Linked DNA regions of Rhinolophus ferrumequinum. The protein of the gene in region 2 interacts with the protein of the main gene of each other region in a pairwise test. Links are inferred from orthologs where the notes say so. Each region holds a gene or a part of one and is shown on either strand. Other genes may lie near its edges.

Region 1 (10,122 bases), on a different chromosome or scaffold from region 2:
TGCCCTACAACCACTGGCTCCCTCCTTCCTTCATGGCCCCTCTGCCTCCTCGGGTCCTTGGCTCTGATCTTAGCCCCTGCCATCCACCAGCACGGACCTGGGCTCCTGGATGCTCCACCTCCAAGGTCTGCCTCACGTGGCTGCCCGACCCACAGGCCCGTCTGCTCCTGTGGCCATCCTTCTAGGGCCAGCTAAACACTGCCCCCGAGCAGTAGCCCTGACTGGACATGTCCTCACAAGCACCTAGCCCGGGTCCTCGAGCCAGCGGGAGCTTCTTCTGATGGTGACATCTAAGTGCTCCCGTTTTACTGAAGACTCAGTCCACTGAGGCTCGTAGAGGTCAGGTGAGCGACCCCTTAAGAGCCCCTGGCAGGCGCTGCCCCCACCACACACACACAGACCCCCTTCTCACATGTGGCCTGACACTGGCTGGGAGACACTCTCCTGTGGTGTCCTCTGAGTCTTTGTAAAATGCAGCAGAGGGGTCCAGCCCTTCACCTTGGTGGTTAGACCGTGAGGGTTGCAGTGCTTTGTGAGGGTGCTCTCAGCCCCTGGACCTGCCCCATCCCAGCCCCACCTGGATTCACGGGCTTGGGCCTCGTGACGGCAGCCCCTCACGGCCATGGTACCCAGAGGATGGCACAAAATGCCCAGTGTGAGGCACCTGCGCCTTTCTGGGCACACAGCAGAGGCTGTGGTGGCAATGACTCTTTTGGGTCCCAGTGGTCAGGATCACTAGACCGGGCCTCAGACTCTGTGTGGCTCACAGTACTGGTGTGTCCTCAGCCAGGGCTGTGGCGACCTGCGGTCCCTGCAGGGTGCACATGGCTGTGTGCCCTGCTTCCTGTGCCCCACCTGTCCTCTGGAGGTGTCCCCTGACCTCCCCAGCACCCCCAGCCCGGGGCTCACGCCGAGGTGATGGCTCGGTACCGCTCCAGGCCAGCCGTGTCCCAGATCTGAGCCTTGATGGCGGCGGTACCCAACATGACAGTGCGCGTGGAGAACTCCACCCCGATGGTGGTGCGGCTGTCGTGGCTGAACTCATTGCGCGTGAAGCGGGACAGCAGGTTGGTCTTGCCCACGCCAGACTCTCCGATCAGCACCACTGAAGGAATGGAGAGAGAAGGGCTGAGTGGGCAGAGGGCCCAAGCCTTCCTGAGCCCCGGGGTCTGCCCACCAGCAAAGGGGAGCTGAGTTCAGAAGACCGAGGAGGGAGCTGAGGCTCCTGACCGCTGGGCTTGCTGAGTCCATCGAGGCAGAAGGGCTGGGAGCTGGACGCAGCTAAGGGTCTGGTGCTTTCAAGTTCCCAGGCCCGTCCATTGAGACAAGGCTGCAGTCAGCCTGGGTCCGGGCTGAATGATGTCTGGGGCCTGCTCGTGGGTGTTACATGGGGACGTTAGCAGGGCTGTGACTGCACAGGGATGGCAGGCCTGGGGGAGGGTGCACATTCCCGGCTAGGGGACACGTTGTTGTGCTTGTTTCTCTGTACATGAGCTGGGAGGATAAGTGAGAGGCTGGGGTGTGTGTTTGCACAGGAGCAGAGGTGTGACTAGGAATGTGGGTGAGGAGAAAGTTTGGCACATGGCACGTCCGGAGGTGAATGTGTAAGAAGCTATGATCCAGTTGTCCCCTAGCAGGGTCCGTCTTGCAAGGTGAAGACTCTGGGGCTGTGTGTGTCCCTCAGCAAGTTATTTAACCTCTCTGACCTTTTTCATCCGAAAAACGGGAATAACACTAGTACCTGTCTTGTGGGTTGTTGCAAGAAGTAAATGAGACATTGCCAGGATGTGGTGAGTGTGCAAAACCGTTACTGCCATGACTGTGGTTGGTGGGTCAGTGCGGTTACCCTCAGGTTTTCAGGGGCAGGGAGCCGCTGGGGTCCAGTGGCGGCTGACGTAAGCATGACCAACACACTGCCCGGTACTGAGCTGAGCAGCAGGACGAGAGGAAGTCAGTCATCGGGGTGGTTCTGGAAAGGCATGCTGGTGCCCAGGGACTGGTTCCCTCTCAGCCTCTGACTAGCTATGTGACCTTGAGCAAGTGGCTCACCTTTTCTGGGTTTGTTTCCTTGTTTATAAAACCTAGAAATGCACCCGCCTCCAGCTTAAGGCATTTCTCATTTGTGTAAGGCAGGAAAGAGCTGGGAACAGTATGGCTGTGTGTGTGTGTGTGTGTGTGTGTGTGTGTGTGTGTGTGTGTGTGTGTGTGTGTTCCTGCCTCTCCCCTGCAGGGAAGCTCATCCCCACTCACCCTGCTGGGGGGTGGAGGCCTAGCCTTGTCCTCAGGCTCCAGAGGCTCGGGCCTTTGGTGTCAGACAGACCAGGGCTTGTGATGCCTTGTGACCTTTTGTAAGCTACATACCCTGTCTCTCATCTGCGTCTGTGAAATGGAGATCTAATTCTTAACATTTATCTCAGAGGCTTTCCACATATGAAGTCACTTCATCCTCACAACAGTGCCACAGGCAAGTGCCATTAGTTCCACCGTTGCATTTTTTACAGACAAAGGAAGGAGGCGCTTGGGGGGTTAAATGACTTGAGCAAGATAACATAGCTAGTGCGTAAAAACACAGGTGTGCTGCCCAGATGTGTCCTCCAGGAAGGACTTGCCCCAGCCCAGGGAGTGCAGTCAGCAGGCAGCCTCCAGCTGCCCGCTCCGCTCCTCCAGCAGCTGCCTCCTCCTGCGTGGGGCAGACAGCTGCCTCACCCGAGGTCACGCGCCCTGGGCAGCCTGCATCCAGGGCCCCAGCAAGGCAAAGGTATTACGGGGCTCCCGGCCCATTGGCTAAGGCTTGGTGACCCTGTCTTGCGTTTTCACTTCCCTCTCTGCCCAATCCTGTTCCCTCTCCCTTCCTTTCACTGGTGTTGGTCCATAATAAGCATCTTGCATCCTAAACTTCTGGAGACCCCGCAACCTGCAGTAGGTATTAAGCGGCAGGGCTGAAATCGGAAGGCAGTCTGCCTCCTGACCATTACGCTTTCAAAATGAAAGAGAACTTTGGGGGCTGTTGTGGTGATTAACGAGCCAGCGGCTAGCACACAGTAAGGGTTCAATAAACAGTAGTTACTCCTGTGTTTCCCCAAAAATAAGACCTAGCTGGACAATCACTTCTACTGTATCTTTTGGAGCAAACATTGATATAAAACCTGGTGTTATACTATATTTATTGCATTATATTATTATACATTATATTACATTGCATTATATTAATTATATTACATTATTACAAGACCCGGTCTTACAGTAAAATAAGACCGGGTCTTATATTAACGTTTGCTCCAAAAGACACATTAGAGCTGATTGTCCCGCTAGGTCTTACTTTCGGGGAAACACGGTAGCAGTGTGATCGTCCCAGACTATTGCTAACCTTTACCCTGTCTCCCTTCCTGGGAAAGATGCTGGGAGTACAGGTTCCCCAACCTCAAGTTGCCTGAGTCCCAAGTGAGGGCGGGGCTGAGGCTGGGAGAGGCAGTGGGGTGGGGTGGCTGGACAGGGAACCACAGCCCCGCCAGCCCACCCTGCCCTGAAGGGGGTGAGGAGGTGGGGGTGGCGAACAACGGGGGAGGGGAACAGGAGGACGGGACACAAACACGGGCTGAGATAAAGAGCAGGAAAGACACGTGCACACTTTCAGGGACAGCCACGCTGAACCCAGTGCCTGGCTTTACATGCCAAGGGACAGACCGAGGAGGCCACGGCCCCAGGAGCCCTCAGAGTCCTGTTAGCCCCTGCTCAATGCACAACATCTTCCCTATATCTCCACCTAGCCCCATGACAGACAGAGCGGGACCCTCCTTTGTCCCCTTTTCTGTATATCTGCCCAGAAAAATGACTTTCTTCCCCATAAGTCTGCCTGAGGGAAGTCCTCTCTGAAGTCTGACCTCCGCCCCTTCTGCTGCAGTGGCTGACTATTCCTAGGGATGTGGCATTAGGAACGGGCAGAGGAGCCTCACTGGCACTCTTAGGGACCGAGGAACACATTATTGACACAGTAGAGCATTCGGGCCGCCCCAGACACCAGACCTTCCCAGCTCCCTGCAGCTTTCTTTCTTATCCAAATGATGAGCCCAGGGGGTGGGGGGGCGGGGGCAAGAGGGTGGATTCCTGGTTAGAGATTAAAACCAAACAAAATAGGAGGCTTTGCCTCTGGCTCTGTTGGTCTCTTTCTGGGTTTCTCAGGCCTCCTCTTTCCGAACCCCAACTCACCCTTGAAGACAAAGTTATAATCTTCCTCGGTCCCGTTCCCCATCTCGGCTCCACATAAGAGGGTACAAGTGTCTTCGGGGCACAGGTGACTGTCTCCGCGTTGGCTCAGCACCTTCAACCTTCAGCTCTTAAGAGACCTGGGTCCACCCCTCCTCTCATTGGGGGTAAAAGAATTTCCGGCCGGCCAGAGGGACTGAGGGCCTGTGTCAGGCCAGGCAAGGCCTGGGGACGCTCCGCTCTGGCAGGTAGGGGTGCTGTAAGGAAGCTGAGAGGACGGAAGCTGAGAACAGGAAGAGCAGGGCACTGGAGACCTGGGGCCCAGGTGGGTGGAGACGGTGACGTCAGACAGGTTAGACAGGTTGGGTGTCTGCTCTCCGCCTAGGCTCCCGCAATGAGGTGAGCAGGCTCCAGGGGGTGGTAGTGGGGAAGCTGGGGCAGACGGGACCTTCCGAGAGACAGCTGAGGACCGAGTGCCTGGCGCTAGGCTCCTAGCACCTGCAGCCCAGGGGGGCCCAGCCGCCAGTAAGTGACAAGGCCCCTCAAGGAGCAGAAGCTGGCTTGGCCTCCTGCTTTTCCTTTAGAGCCTCTGGTGGGGGCCCCAGGGGAGAGGCTGATGGGGTGGCAGTCACCTATCTGTGCGCAGAGCTCTGGGAGTTGCATCTTAGGCCCGGCAATTCCTGCCCCTCCCAGACAGCTCTGGGCCTGGGAGGGGCAGCATTTCTCATACTGGGTGGAGCTGGAACTTGCTACCTATAGGCTTCCCTGCGATGGGTCCCTTTCTATAGCACTGGGAAAGGGGCTGGTAGCTTCCCGCCCACACCTGCTCTAAGGACACAGGTAGGAGGAGACCTGGACAGAAACAGCCAGGTGGGGTGAGGGGTGCAAGCGTAGGGCCAGGGTGAGGACACGAAGGCCTGAGAGGTCTTCTGGTTTCTCCAGATCCCTGCCCAGGACCTGAGGCCTCACCGGAAAGCAATGGTGTCTGCAGAGGGCTTCGAGACCTGGAGCTGCGCGTCAGAATGTGAAGGCCTTGGAGAGGAAAGGGGTGGCCCCCTCCCAACCCCAAGAGTAGGAAAGGCAACCCCGCCAAAGTCGGGACCTACGGACACTGCACTCCCTGGCTCTATATTCTCTTTGTTCAACATGACGCCCACTGGCCCCGTTCCTCGGAGCTCACTTCCAAGGTTTTGCCAACCAGGTGGGTGAGACTCTGAGTGGCGAGGGCCAGGTGAGGCCACTCCACTGGAGATTCTGGTGGGGGCGCAGGACATGAAGAACCCGTAAGCCAGTCCTGCTCCTTTCCATCCCCTGACTCCTCCCAGCCAAGAAAGCAACCAAGACGTAAGACAGGACTGAAATTTATTCTTGGAAAAAACAAAGTCCCTCCCCTCCCCCCACACACCAGGAAGGATTCCCCAGGGGGCCCTGCCCCTCCAATGGTCATCTCTCTTGCCTGACCCCAGCTTCCACCAGTGCCCCTTACGACGCTGCTACCTGGGTAAGAGGTTCTTCCAGGTACTGCACCAAGGCTTGGGCCTGCGGGAGGGGGAGGAAAAGCGTCCCACATGTGGCCTGCCACGAAAGGGACCCCAAATCCAGGTCGACTCCCCATACCGAGCACCCAGCCCCCAGCCCCAGTGGACAGGGACTGGGTGACATGAGGACCCAGGAAGGCGGTGGGGACGGGAGTGGACCCTGACGGAGCACAGGGGCCGGGCCCAGGTGGCGGAGCAACGAGCACACATACCTTGGCCTTGAGCATCCCGAAGCCGACGGTCTCCTTGGCATACATACACAGCAGTAGGTTGGCCACTCGCGTGATGGCCACACGGCCCTCCTGGTGGGGGTGACATCGTGGGATGGGAGGCCCTGCTTGGCACCCTAAGCCCCCTTTCCCCACGGGCTCCTCGTGAGACAGACTGTATCTTCCTTCCACGCCCCGGGCAGGGTTGGAGCTTCAGCTGGGGGCTTTGGCCACAGCCCTGGACATGGGGTCCTGTGCCCAGATTCCAGCCTCAGCACAGCCACGAACCAAGTCACCCCAGAAAACTCAATCTCCCAGAAACTCGGTTCTCTTTCTGTAACCCCTACCTCATCCCAGTTGCTGAGGGTACTAGCACACGGGAAGGAATTCCGGGCTCTTCTAATGGGCTATGTTATTATTATGGGTTCACCTCCAAGACACTATAAGAGGCTTGAGAGCAGAAACCCCACTCCTAGTTCTCTTTTCCAATGGCAATGTGTTTCAAACTGCACACCCGACGTCCGGGTTAGGAGATTAATTAAGAAGGTTGATTAGCATCGAAAGAAAAAAGGAAGGAAAAGAAGAGAAATGAAGAGAAATGCATTGCATGTAGTCAGGGAACTTGTTTGAGCGAGTGATTGTTTGCACGGGGCTCCAGCATCAAATGTGTTTCTTACAGCTGGGCTGTGGTCAAATGTTTGAAAGCTATTGCCCTATAGCACTAGGTCTGAGCTGGGCACCCAGGAGTCATCGGCTGAACTGGAATGCATCCTTGGCTGGAATGGGGGCCAGGAAGTGGTAGGTAGCTGAGTACAGTGGAAACCCTTCATTCTTGCGGCCTTCTCAATTCGGTTCAGCAAACTTTCACTAGGTATCCAGTGTGTGCTAGGAACCATGTACTGCCTGTCTGGCATCATCTATCATCCTCCCCCCATTCTCATGCCACTCCAGCCACATCTCCCTTGTCGATCTGTGACCAGGCACCTTTCTGCCTCAGGGCCTTTGCACTTGCTGTTCTCTCCATCAGAAATGTTTATGCCCCAGACAGCCACATGGCTTGCCAACTTCTTTCAAATCTGTGATGAAATGTCACCTGTTCAGTGAGATTATCCCTGGCGCATGCCACCCTTATCTCAATTCCTTGCTTTATTTTTCTCCATAGCGTTTTTAGAAATCTAACATACTATTTTTTTAACTTACATATTTTTTCCTTCCTCAAGGGATTAGACAAGGGTCTGGAGACTCTTATAGGCCTGTGAGTCAGTGACTCTGGCATGACAGCACTTTGTGTGTACCTCACTCTACAGTTTACATCCACTCTGTTAGTTGATCTTCACCACAGCCCCTTGAGGTGGGGACCGGGGTTTATTGTTTCCACCTCAGAGAGGAGATAAGGAAGCTCAGAGAGGTTAAGTAACTTACCCAAGGTTCCACAGACGGTAAGTGGCTGGCTGAGACCAGAACCCCAGGCAGACCCGGGGTCCAGGGCCCCTTCCTCACCACTGTGATGCACAGGGTTCTGCCTATGATAAATGGTGCTGCGGGCCAACTCTTAGCAATCTTCCCGAGATCCTGCCCCTCCAACCATCCGGGACCGGGTCCAGGTCGCCCCGGGGATCCCTTTGGGGGACAGAGGAAGTGGCTTCCCACTCCATACCATGCAGTCCATGAGGATGAATTTGAGATTGTCTTCATTAAACGCTTGGTTCCCGTTCCGGTCGTAGGCGGCCCAGATGTTACTGGCGATGGCGGCGGTAACCCGGGCGTCAGTATCCCCGTAACCAGAGTAAGCCAGCAGAGATCCCTCGTTATTCAGCAGCCTGGCGAGGAACCGGAAGGGGCAGCGACGTGCTCAGGATGGGGAGTAAGAGTCCTGGGTTCCCATCCCAGCTCCCGCCACTGGCGCTTCTAGAAAGCAAGGGTCTAGGTTGAGTGTGTCCTAGAAGGTGCCCAGAGCACCCAGGCCGTCGCTTTCCCCTTTCGAGAGGGGCCCTCCAAGGCGGCTGCCCACTCTGCCTCCTCCCTTCCCGGAGATGTTTCCCCACCCCTCCCTCGGAGAGCCGCGCGCTGCCCGACTCCAGTGCTCGTCGCTCGGGTCCTCGGTCCGCACTCACAGGGTGCTCTGGACACCTCCAGTGTTGGCTTGGCTCAGCACCTGGGTCAAAGCCTTGGGACGTAGCATGCCTGCAGCTCCCAAACCTGGGTTTTTGCACCCAGACCTCCGAACTGCCTCCTGCGGGCCTCCGCCAGCCCTTTCCGGTAGTTCAGCTGACCTGCTCCGGAACGCCCTGGGAGTTGTAGTTTCTCCGCCTGGTTTTGTAGTTTTGACTCAACCCCGCTTTACCGCGGAGGGCACTGGGAATTGTAGTTCCTTGAGGCCTCGTGAGGCATCCTGGGAACGATAGTTCGCCTTTCCACTGAGACCACGCGGTTGTGGGGGAAAAGAGCGGGAGTGAAAGGACATTGGCGGTATTGGAAGGACATTTAACCCCCTCGGGGAGAGAAAAGTCATGTCCGCTTGACAATCCACGACTCAGTAATTAAAAAAATAAAAAAATAAAATCCCTGTGTTTGTTAGGCACACCTTTGGTTGCTTTTCAAAGCAATTTTCTACATTATGCACAATTCTGGGTGATGAAGCCATAGATACTATTGAGGAAACTAAGGCTCGGGAAGGCCATGCAGGCAAAACCCAGGTCGCTGGAACAGTACCTAATAGAGTTCATTCAGGCCACGATCCTCGGGGGAATGAAATCAATTCTAGAGATGAGATTTTAGGTGGACGTCCAGAAGTGGGAAAATTCATCCTACCAGTCGGCAGAGGCCCCAGGCCCGAGAAGGATTTGGGCTTCTCAATAAAAGACCAGCTATCGCAGGGGACGGAGATAAAGCGGCGACACAGAGTCCTTTGTCCCGCAGCGGGAGTGACCCGTGGTGGGGGCAGGAGCTGTTTTGGGTCGGAGGGGACCTCGGCTCAGCTCTGGCCCGCTCGGATGGGCTGTGGTCTCCCGTGGGGCGCTCGCCCCTCACCCCAGCAGTGAGGGACTCGCCCCGCCCCCGTCCCGAGCGCCCCAGGGGCCGCCGCCCAGCGAGGCCCAGACCAGGCTGCGGGACCCCAGGCTCGGCCCTGGGCGGACACTGCTGCAGTGGCCCCCCCAGTCCGCCCGGGGCGCTGTGGCTGCGGCTGGTCCGGAGGGGGCGGTGAAGCCTTGGGGAGGGGAGGGGAGGAGAGGGGAGTGTTGGAGGCGCCGGAGCCTAGCCGGGCCGGCGGGGCGGGCGGGGAGGAGGAGGAGCCGGAGCGGGCTGGCGGGCGGCCGGGTGGCGGCGGCGGCATGGCGGAGCCGAGCGGGGCTGAGACGAGGCCCCCCATTCGGGTCACCGTCAAGACCCCCAAGGACAAGGAGGAAATTGTGATCTGCGATCGAGCCTCGGTCAAGGAGGTACTACGGTCGTCGGGGGGAGCGCGGAGGAGGGGTCCGCGAAGAGAGGGGGGTGGCTCGGGACTGCCGGGCGCAAAGAAGGGCCTGGGAGAGGAGGGCGGGGGCCCAGACGGCACTCGGAGGAGCGAGAAGGGAGGAGAGGCGGGTCAGGGGCGTCCTGCGAGGGTAAGTTGGAGGAGCATGGCACGCGTGTTGGGGAAGGGAGGCCGGGGTTTGCCTTGTGGCCTGGACTGGGGGCGTGGTGGAGAGAGGGGAGGGGGACACCTTGCGCAGGGAAGGGGAAGGACCCTGGGCTTGCGCCCCGGTTACTTATGGGGGTTCGGGGCGCCGAGGCAAAATGGGGGCCGGGCATGGTGCTGAGCCGGGAGAGCGCGCGGGGGACGCCGCGGAGACCTCGGGTGCCTACTGTGCGCTTGGGAGGACGCCCCGCCTTCTTCGCCGCCCCGGCAGTGGGGGGAGGATTTCCTTCTGCCCAGATCCTTCCTGCGCTTTCCAATCCAGGTGGTTACATTTGGTTCTCAGCCCTCCGGGATTTACACAGTGTGCAGTAGGTGCTCAATAAAAACGTATCCGATGAGGGAGTGTTGCCTGGGTTCGCCACCCCCCTGTGGCTGCTCCAGAAATTCACATGGGCGGGGCTTAAGATAGGCCATCTGGTTGGAAGGGAGGGATCTGGAAGCTGCCTGGCTTTGCAAGTGCACTGGTTTGGGAGCGCTGATAGATTTGGGAGTC
Region 2 (9,803 bases):
AAAAATCAGCTTCTTTCTCAGCACGTTCCTGTGTCCGCTTTCAGATAGCCCCTCCCCCCCATGACATTCATCTCCTGTCACAGCTCAGTACCCAGTGGGGAGGACTCCACGTTATAATCCCACCCCCTGGACACATCTCTCATGCCTTTTTCTCCCACAAGGACCCATAGTTCCCCGCCCCCCACAGTCGGTTCTCTCTGTTTTCTGACCCCAAACTCACCTCTTCTCAGTCCCATGTGGGCAGTGCCCTCCCCTCCCCTGACGATGTTCTGGCAAACTAATCTCAGAGGCTGCTATGACCCAGGTTTGGACCGACATCTTCACAGATAAACCCTTTGGGCTACGTGCCACCAGGTCACTCCTGTAGTGGACATTCACCTGGATACCAGTCTCTTGTTGTTTCTCATCAGGCTGCCGTGAATAAACTAGTGAGTATATCAGGAAAACCAGTTCCTACAGTGGGATTTCTGGGTTGAAGAGAACATGCATTTCAGTGTCTGATCCTTACTGCCAAGCAGCCAGCAGGATCCCTGTCCCTGTCCCTGACTAGACAGAAACGGCTGATGGACACGCCAAGCTTCCATGGGAAGGATGAACCTGTCCCCTGTTACGTTTCTTCCACTTTTTTCTATCCTTAAGAAGTGTATGTTAAAAAATATCTGTTGATAGATCCGAAAGGATCAAAAGACACAAAACTAGACAAATTGGCGGCCGTTACAACATGGCCATTCCTGCAGCAGCATGATGTCTCCCAGTGTCTGTAGAAGCACCCAGGCCGGTCTGCTCTGCACTTGATCTCTTGCACGCTGGTGGGGTGCTTGATTGCACCACCCACACGCTCAGCCCGGGATGTGCCAGCAAACATGTTACCTTCCTTGTTCCCTCTCAAAGCAAGTGGCATCCTGTTCATAAAAGTGTGTGTCTTCAGTCAGAACAAAAATTAATTTTACATTGTAATCAGTATTTGGGGGTCCAATAGTGACAGTTCTCAGTGCTTCCTCAGTGCTCCATGGGACTCTGATTAAGAACCACTGACCCAATAGCCAAGCAGCTCCTGGTGGGGGTGGGGGAGCAGGAAGTCTGGGAAGGCCCAGCAGTGGTCACAGGAATCCTGACAGGTGAGTCATCATAGCATCGGGAATCTGGAAGCAAGATATAGGCAGGTCTAGGTATCCAGAAGGAACTGCTGCAAACATTGGGACAAAGTCATGAGACCTGGGCTTAAAGATGGGATCATAGATGAAGGGAAGACTGTGCTGGGTAACACTGAGTCTTGTTCCAGGAAAACCTGGCTATGGCAGGGAGGTAAAGAAGAGGACAGTAGGACAACAGAAGGATTCGGTTCCTAGAACGAGACTGCGACAGCGGCTTGGTTGTAGGGAATAAAGCAGGATTCCAATTATTGGGGTTGGGTAGTAGTTCAAGGCAAGATGAGTATCAAGACGGAGTCGGACAATTTGCTGACTTTAGACTTACAACTGGTTGCAGCTCCTGGGGCTGAGCTTACCTGCAAGTGGTGCAGAGGTATGCGGAGTGTGGGGCCAGGGGCCGGACAGTTACTTCTCTGACCACTTGAGGAATAAGTTTTAAAACCAGCTTGAGCAGGAATAGCAAGATGCTTGAGTCAAAAGACAACTTATGTCTAGGAGAACTTCACAGCCTAATTTATGGAGTAACACATGTTGAAATAGAAGTAGACCATAATCTTTTAGCTAGAGCATAAAAATAAAATCCTAAATGATATGCCTCCCCACACTCCAAAGCTGCTGAGGCTGGGATGCCAATATTATCGGAGGTGCCGGCAGGTGTTTGCTAGCGGGTGGCCCTGGAGAAGCCACCTCCGCGTGGACTGGCACAGGACCCAGCACACTGCAGTATTGTCACACATCCATTAGGTGATGGAAGGCTTCGTGGACAAGGTGAAACACGGGTTTGGCCCTAAAGCAGGGGCTCTCAACCTTGGCTCTGCTTCAGGATTACTTGGGAGTGTTGAAAGACCAGAACAAGGAAATTGGAGCTTCTGGGATGAGACACTGGGATCCATCTTTTTGAAGTGATTCCCAGGTGTAGCCAAGACTGAGAATCATGGCCTTAAAGGATGCGTAGGACTGGAAACAGCAGGTTCCAGGTAGGTTTTGCTCATTTACAGGATTAGGTAATTAATACAAGCCCCATGGCCCGTCCTCAGCCCAACCTCTGGCTCTGATTCCCTTACTTCATCATGAGGGAGTCTCACCTGGAATCAGGTAGAAACTGGGGCCCCACAGCAAGATCTCGGTTTAATGGTTCAATTTTGATTTATTAATGGGTGACATGGGATGAAAGATACATTTTCTGAGCAAGGCAGGTGGAGGGAGGTTGTGAGTGAAATCCTCTGCTACTCAAGCTTCCTAGTTCTTCCTAGAAATGTCCAGGCCAAGAGCAGTTTGGCCACCAACAAACTGTGTGGCTTTGGGCAAGTCCCACCTCCTCTCTGAGCCTCAGTTTTCTCTCTTATAAAATGAGATGGTAAAATTGATTCTTTGAAAGATCAGGGAATTATGAAATATTGAAAATGAGAGAAAACGCAAAAATAAAACTAGCTGTTGGGAAGTGTCCAGAAGAGGGTGCAAGATGCTAGGGACAAACTATATTGTGGCTTTGGCCGTCTTCTGGGAAGGGAACTGCTTACCTGAGAGCAAGGTGGCAGTGAGTGTGCCCAGATATTGGAGAACTAGAGGCTCAGAATTAATTCTGTGGGCATGCGCAGACCGTGGGCATGCAGGCTGATGCAGTTACGTTTACTCTGATCCATGCCACCTCATTTTCTCCTCCCTTCTTTCCATCCAAGCTCCAATAAATTTGTCGTTCCATTTTTTTCAGAGGTGTGTGTTTCATAACAATTATTTATACAATAGCCCTTGGCTTTGTGAACAGTGTCTATGGAGAAGAGATTTCAGAGGGTCTGGGAGAGCGTAAAGTCCACCCCTCTCCCTATTACCCCAGAAAAGAATCCAATCCTTTTGCAGCAGTCAGGATGCCTAGTAGGAAGCAAAGCGTTTCATTCCATTTAGGATTCAAGTCAAGCTTTAAATGAAACCCTCCTAAAGGGAACACAGGACCGAATTACTGAGTTATAAAGGACTAACAGCAAACTTTCCCAGGGAACAAGCTTTGAAAGGGGGGTTTTCTTCCCTGAGGTTAGCCATGTGGCATTTATGACACCAGCTCTGAACTTGCTGTGGTGTCATACACCAGGGATATGGAAGGCAGCCACCAGGGGCAACCACTGCCTCTCAGCAGGGGTATAGCCCACCCTCCCACTGACTGGTAGACTCTATAGCATCCTTGACAATGAGAATCCAGCCTCTGCTTGAATCCTCCAGGGAAAGCGAGCTCCCTTCTCAGGAGATGCCTGCTCCTCTCATGAACAGTTTTTCTTACTAGAACTTGTACTTGTCCCTCATGGTTGTCCGATGTCTATCACCCGGAAACTTCCTCCCTGTGGTCTGGGTCTGGCTTTCATTAAGCAGAACCAGCCTCATCTCTTTCACAGGACAGATTTTCAAATATATGAAAGCAGTTATGATGTCCCCATCTCTCTTGTTGAGGCCCCCAGCCCTCACCATTCCTCTGTCTGAACCTCCCTCAGAGGTTGCTCTGAGGCTCAAACAAGATCACAGAAGTAAAACACTTGGCAAGTTCCCTTGGCACAAAGTAAGTTTTCAAATGTTTTTATTCAAAGGAGGGAAAGAGCATATCTGATTGTGGGATTCGACATTCACAGAGTTCTGGCCAAGAGTAGTAGTCTTCTCAGGGATGTGGTTCAGTTCAATCAGCGTGAATTGAGATTTTAATTTGTGCCAGGTATGATGGAAGCCAGAAAGTTGGAACCGGGTCGGGGGAAGAAGGATGGAAATAAATGAGTTTCAGGTTAGCCAGAGGTCTCATTGGGATTGCAAGTGCTGCCTGTCTGGCAGGTGGAAAGGTGGGTCTAAATTAAGATGAGAATTGGATTTGTGGTAAGCGGTGAAACGGGGTGTGGAGAGGAAGAAGGACGAGGTCTGGGAAATGGGCCACAGTTTTACTCAGGAATCAGGAAGAAAAAGCAGAGCTAGAAAAGGACATGGAGAAGGTGTGGTTAGAGAGGCTGGGAAGACAAGAGGAGAAAAGTGATAGGAGGAGACAGATTAACATGGTGGGGAGAGTCCATTACTCTCTCCCTCTCCCCCGACCCTGTGCTTCAGAGGAAGAATGCAATTTCACTAGGATGGGGCTGAGAGGAACCGCTAAGGAAGGAATTAAGGCAGCGGCTCTCTTAACCTTGGCTGTCATTAGAAACACTTCATAGCTCTTAAGAATCCCTTTGCCCAGGCAGCACCCCAGACAGAATTTCTGGGAGTGGAAGCCAGGCACTCGTTTTTGTACAAGCGATTCCAATGTGCAGAAAGTGTTGAGAGCCAATGAATTCTGGAGGGACTGGGTGTGAGTAAGTGGAGCCAGCTGGTACAAGCTGGAAAGGAGAACAGAGAAAAAGTCAAGAGCCAGTGGAGAGTTGCTGGTAGAGAGAAGGGGCTGCTGGTGGAGCACTATGGTGGAGAAGCTAAGGTTACCTGGGGCAGCGGTGGGGAACTAACTGATAGTCCCAAGGGGGCTGTCTTTGTCCCAGGGGGAGAAACCCTAGGGAGGTGTGAAAATGCTGAGTTCAGGCCTCACCCCCAGCATTTCTGATTCAGGAGGTCTGCCGGAGGACTGATAATTTGTATTTCTAATAAGTTCCCTGGTGATGCTGACAGCCCTGGGGCCACACTTGGAGAACTACTAGAATACAGGGAAGGAAAGTATGCAGACAAATTTTTGAGTGAGAAAGGATGGAACTGTTTCCTTTCTGCCCTTGCCAGTGATAGAAAGAGCTCCCATTTCAGCTCCAAGGAGAGTTGCCCAAGCTTTCGTTACTGCATTTGTCAATCCTGAAAGGACAATTCTTTAGAATTACAGAAGAACTTAAAACAATTCAGGTATTGAGGTCCCAGTCTTGGCCAATATACCAGAATTCTTGAGGGGGGCCTTTCTTAGAGCTATTAAAGCTCCCCAGGTGATAATTCTCATGGAGGAGGCACAGGTAAGAAGGGCCAGACACGTGAATTAAAAGGGGATCTTGCACGCCAGGTGGGAAGCCCTTAAATAGGATGAGTTTAAAAACCCTTCCAGGGCAGGACTCCAGGACAACTGTTCCAGCTGGTGTAGATGGACGCTTTGGTTGGGAACCACCTTCAGAGGCCATTCCTCATTCAGGTACAAATGTCACCTTCAGAAAACCAAGGTCCCATCGCCTCCTACAGCTTCTGCTCTCCCTCCACCTACTCCTGCCAATTATTTTCTTTTTTTGGCTGAAATGTCTACTTTTTGCTGGAAGTAGAAGAGGGACTGAAGCTGCTGCAGGTAGCCACATGCCACTGGCAGAGGGGACAAAAATAGATGAGGTAGGTAGTAGCAGAGGGACTGAGAGTGTGCGAGGGGAGAAAACGTGACACTTCCCAGAGAAGCCAACAATCCTCCCAGATGGTGGCGGGTGCCTACTTGGCAGCTGGGGGAGGCGGGGACGGGCAAACAAAGTGGAGAAGAGTTGCGACTCCCACCTTTCTGATTAAGATTTCAGCGCAGGGAGCCCATCTTGGCGGAGACAATCTTTGGCATAGCCCCGTCACCTCATAACAATCTACGACATAACTGAATTTAAATAATGAAAGTATTGGCTACAGCCTCGTAAAACACAGAGGACAGTGTATGGAGCCTTTCCGCCGTAGACATCCCTCCTTTTATTCCTCTTCGCCTCTCTGGTTACTTTCCTCTTGCGTACTTGTCCGTCCTCCATCCCCGGCACAACCCCCCGAGGCACAGCCCGCGTGGACCCGGAGCGTGGCGCGGCAGGTGCGGCAGCCGGCGCGCACCTGTCCCGCGTGCGCGCGGCGTCCAGCAGGGGGCGGCCGCCGCCCGCTCCTCGCCCGCCCCGCCCCCAGGCCGGAGGACCCCGCGGCGGCGGGGACGCGGGAGGGCGCGTCCAGCCCGGCCCCGTTGGGCGCAAAGGCGCGGCGGCACACACCCGCCGCCCGCTCTGACGCCCGCTATCCTCCCTCCCTCCGCCGCCCGGCGCCGGCACCTCCTCCCATACCTGAGCCGGGAGCGGCGCCGCGCGGCCTCCTCCCCCGCCCGCCCGCAACTCCGGCCCGGCCGCAGCGACGCCGCTGCCGCGGGAGTAAAGGTCGCGCCGGCAGGGAGCGAGCCGGTCGCGGCGCCTCCAGGAAGCCGGCGGGACAGGTCGGGGGAAAGGGACGAGAAACACACAAACTCTCGGCCAGCCCAGGAAGATGGCGCCAGGCGGGCTGGCCGTGGACTGAGAGCCACCGGGGCAGCGAGGAGCCGGGACCTGCCGCCGCCGGGGCACGAGCGAGGGCAGTCTGCAGGCACGGCGCCCCGGGCTCGGCCCTGCCCGCGGGGTCATGTCGGTCAGCGAGCTCTACAGCCAGGTGAGTGCGGGCCGCGCGCCGCGGCCGGGCGGGCACAGGTGAGGGCTGCGTGGGGCGGGGGCGGTGCGCGCCAGGCCACCGAGGCCCTCCCGGGCGCCTTCTCCTGCTGCTCCAGGAGCCGGGGGGCACCTGAGATGCCTCTTAAGCTCCCCTTCACCATCTCTTCGGCGCCCCTAACTTCGGGGTGGAGGAGAAAGTTTGGCTGTTCGGGGAGCGCCTGGCACTGACCGGCCGCGGCTCTGTCCCTGGCTAGGGCTCTGGTTTCCTCCCCGACACTCGGTCATCGCTTTTCTCGCCCCGACTCCGGCTCGGCTCGGGCTGAATTCCCCGAACCGACCGCGGGGGCCAGCTCGGAACCCGCTGCGTGGGGACAGCCCCCTGCGGTGGCGCCCATCTCAGTCACGGACCCTACCCCAGGTGCTCTTCAGCGTGAGCTCCCAAGGTCGACCCACTAAGGCTTGTAAGCCTTCCTTTTCTCCCGAGGTCAATGAGGGGAAACCCTGAACTTGGAGGGGATGTTCCTGCACTTGGGGGTGGAGAGAGAAGGGGTCCCAACGAGGTGTGAGGGGTGCAGCGGCTGGAGGTGTGGAGGGACGTAAGCCATGGGATCGCTGGAGATCCCAGGGAAGCGCATTCATAGTTTGACAGGGAGGGGCACTCGGAGGTGACCCCTCTGGATGGGTACCGGGAGGGCTTCAGTTACTGTGGGGAGGGGGTTGGAGTAACCTGGCGGGGGTGCGGGTGGTGTGGAGTGTGGATTTCCAGGGTGCCTGCAAGGTTAGAATGGATGTATGGGGCTCCGTCCTCAGTCGGGGACAGAAAAGTGGAGACGCCCCGCTTCCGCGGCAGTTGCTATGGTTAAAGTTAGGGACCAGTCACCGCTTCCCCCTACGCCCACTGGTGCGCAGCCGCAGCCGAGGTACCCTCGAGTTTCAACCTGGCGCTGGGGGTGAGAGGGGTCGGGGCATTTAAAGCACGTGCCCACCTCCAACCCATTCTTCAGTTTTGGATGTTCCCACGCCTTTCCTGCCTGCCTGTCTTGGCTGTGGCCGGGGCACCTTGGACAATGCCTTGTGCTCGCCTCTATGCAGAGGTGTGTGTGTGTGTGGGGGGGGTGCACGCACACTCGTGGGTGTGCGATCCTCAGGACACCTACCGGGCCAACAGGTCTGGGTGGAGGAGGAAGGGCCACTTCCGCCTTCTCACCTGGCGATTGCTTGCCGCTGCCGCGCACGTGGGCCAGTCCTTCTGTTGGGTGGGCTGGCTATTTTTCCTTTAGCAAGTTTTCTAATTTCATCGTACCTCCGGGAGCGGGGCAGGGCTGAACTGGGATGATCTGAGGCCGCCACCGCAGAGGATGTAAGTCAGCTGGCGGCGGGTCTCAGCAGCCGGGGACACCTGCACCATCCCCACCAGGCTTTCCCTGACAGCGATAGCAGCGATCACGAATGGTCGGAGGGTAGATTCCCGGAAAGGTGGGGGTGTGTGTGGGGAATCTCGGGTGCTTCTGGCTTTGGAAAAGCACCCCACCCCGTTTACCCGTGGGAGGAGCTCTCAGAGCTCCAGGCTTCAGTTCTTTCCCTGACGTGGGTTATCAGGAACTTTGACTGAAGGTTGGAAACCTGTGAGTCAGGGAAAAATCTGAAGTATAAAGGGCTGAGCTTTGTTACAGGAAAGTTCACGAAAATGCCACTTGTACTCCCAAGTGAAATGAGTGACTTAAGTGAATATACCTGCAATGTATCCTGAAGTCTTTTATTAGATGATTGCAACGTTATATGAAGCTAATGGATAACTGAATAAACCCTTAATTTTTGGAGCCCTGATTATTGGAAAAAGAATTAATATTGGATTGCTTTTAAAGACAACACTTTCAGAGGAGACCACTCAATCTTAAAAATTTTATTGCATGTTAGAAATGAGTATATTGCGTATTAACTATTACAAATGAATTAGGGGTAGTCTGAGCTAAAGTTTTAGTGTACTTTTTCTGGACTTATGGAGATGGACAAAACTGTTTCACCAGGCAAAGGTCTTGGGAGAACATACAAGACACATATTTTTAAGTTTATTGGTGTGAGAGTTGGCGTAATCCAAATAGTATTAGACTTTCTTCCTAGGGCTAGGGGGACTGTATATCCCTGTGTTAATAGGTTTCTAGTTCTTAAACACTTTTAAGTCTATAAATCTGAATTTGAGAAGATTTTCCATGACCAATGCTGTATCTTCAAGATTGTGTTGCTGTTATTTTTCTTCCTGGCAGAGTTAAACACACTTACGCAGTTAGGCTTTACTATGAGAAACGGTGCATTGTTTCCTAACCATTGTCACCTCACTTGCTAAGCTGGATTCTCTGTATGCATATGACTCATAAATTATACAGAGAAATTGTGTCTGCTATTTATATTCACTTTGTTTCTTGGGGGAGATGATTTGTTCATTTTTGTGTATTATCAAAGTAGCCAGTGTTCCCTTTTGTTTTTAACCGGCTAGTGGGGCTTTTCTAATGTGATGAATACTGGATCCAGGCACACCCTTCAGTGTATTATATATGATGGGAATAATTATCTATTATGCCAGCAGTATTTACACCTGGGATGGAAATTTTGAAGCCCTTTGTTGATTATACCTGTTGCGTTAGTGACACAGTTGGAAGACATTATTCGAATGAGGCACTTAAATGTATAAATTAGCTAAGTATAAATAGTTTCAGGTAAGAACTTAGTGTATTAGTCTATTCCTAGTTATCCAAGAGAAGGCTTCCTCCTTTTCCCTCCCTCCAAGTTAGTTTCTTGCTCTCTGTCAGCTCTCTTCGGCTGGCTCATGTGCTGTGCATACATATATTTTTTTTTTTTTTGGAGTTGATTTGAGTCATTGGCAAAGGGCCCTTCCCATTAACAAAGGCACTCCTGTTTTCAGAAAACCCAACACCTCACATTTGAGAAATTGCTTTCTTTGTAGTGAGGTTTTTCTGGATGGGAAAAGAAACTCGGAGTACATGTCATACACTTGGAGGCTGATGTTCAGGTGAGTCAGCCTCATTCACTCTTACAGAAAGGTGGCGCTTACGCAGGGCTCTCACACAGCTGGCTCGGATGTGGCAAGTGTTACTTTTGTTTCCAACCCACAGGAAAAGACAATAGGGACTCCTTTGATTTGTACAGGTCCCAGGAAGACACCCCAACTGTGCAAGCATGATGAGTATGATTTAATTATGATAATTGCAGACGATAGTCTGATTTTTTTTTTTTTAAAGTAAAATACGTAACCTTTCCCTCGGGAGGAATAATACAACTG

The links. The genes of interacting proteins can lie anywhere in the genome.
Region 1: the proteins of MYO5B (region 2) and RAB25 interact in binary tests that used the Homo sapiens proteins (3 or more experiments, as listed by UniProt). The link is inferred for Rhinolophus ferrumequinum from reciprocal best matches to the Homo sapiens genes MYO5B and RAB25.

The regions. Positions count from the first base shown.
Region 1 is NC_046305.1:672,324-682,445, reverse strand, and holds the start of RAB25 (ras-related protein Rab-25), read right to left. Parts: upstream 4,504-10,122; 5' UTR 4,250-4,503; coding exon 4,207-4,249; intron 1,106-4,206; coding exon 910-1,105; intron 1-909. Other genes in the region: ragulator complex protein LAMTOR2, read right to left, coding at 5,686-5,742, 5,954-6,043, 7,608-7,770, 8,065-8,132; UBQLN4 (ubiquilin-4), read left to right, coding at 9,283-9,390. UniProt on the Homo sapiens protein: The small GTPases Rab are key regulators of intracellular membrane trafficking, from the formation of transport vesicles to their fusion with membranes.
Region 2 is NC_046302.1:41,028,773-41,038,575, reverse strand, and holds the start of MYO5B (unconventional myosin-Vb), read left to right. Parts: upstream 1-6,156; 5' UTR 6,157-6,479; coding exon 6,480-6,506; intron 6,507-9,803. UniProt on the Homo sapiens protein: May be involved in vesicular trafficking via its association with the CART complex. The CART complex is necessary for efficient transferrin receptor recycling but not for EGFR degradation.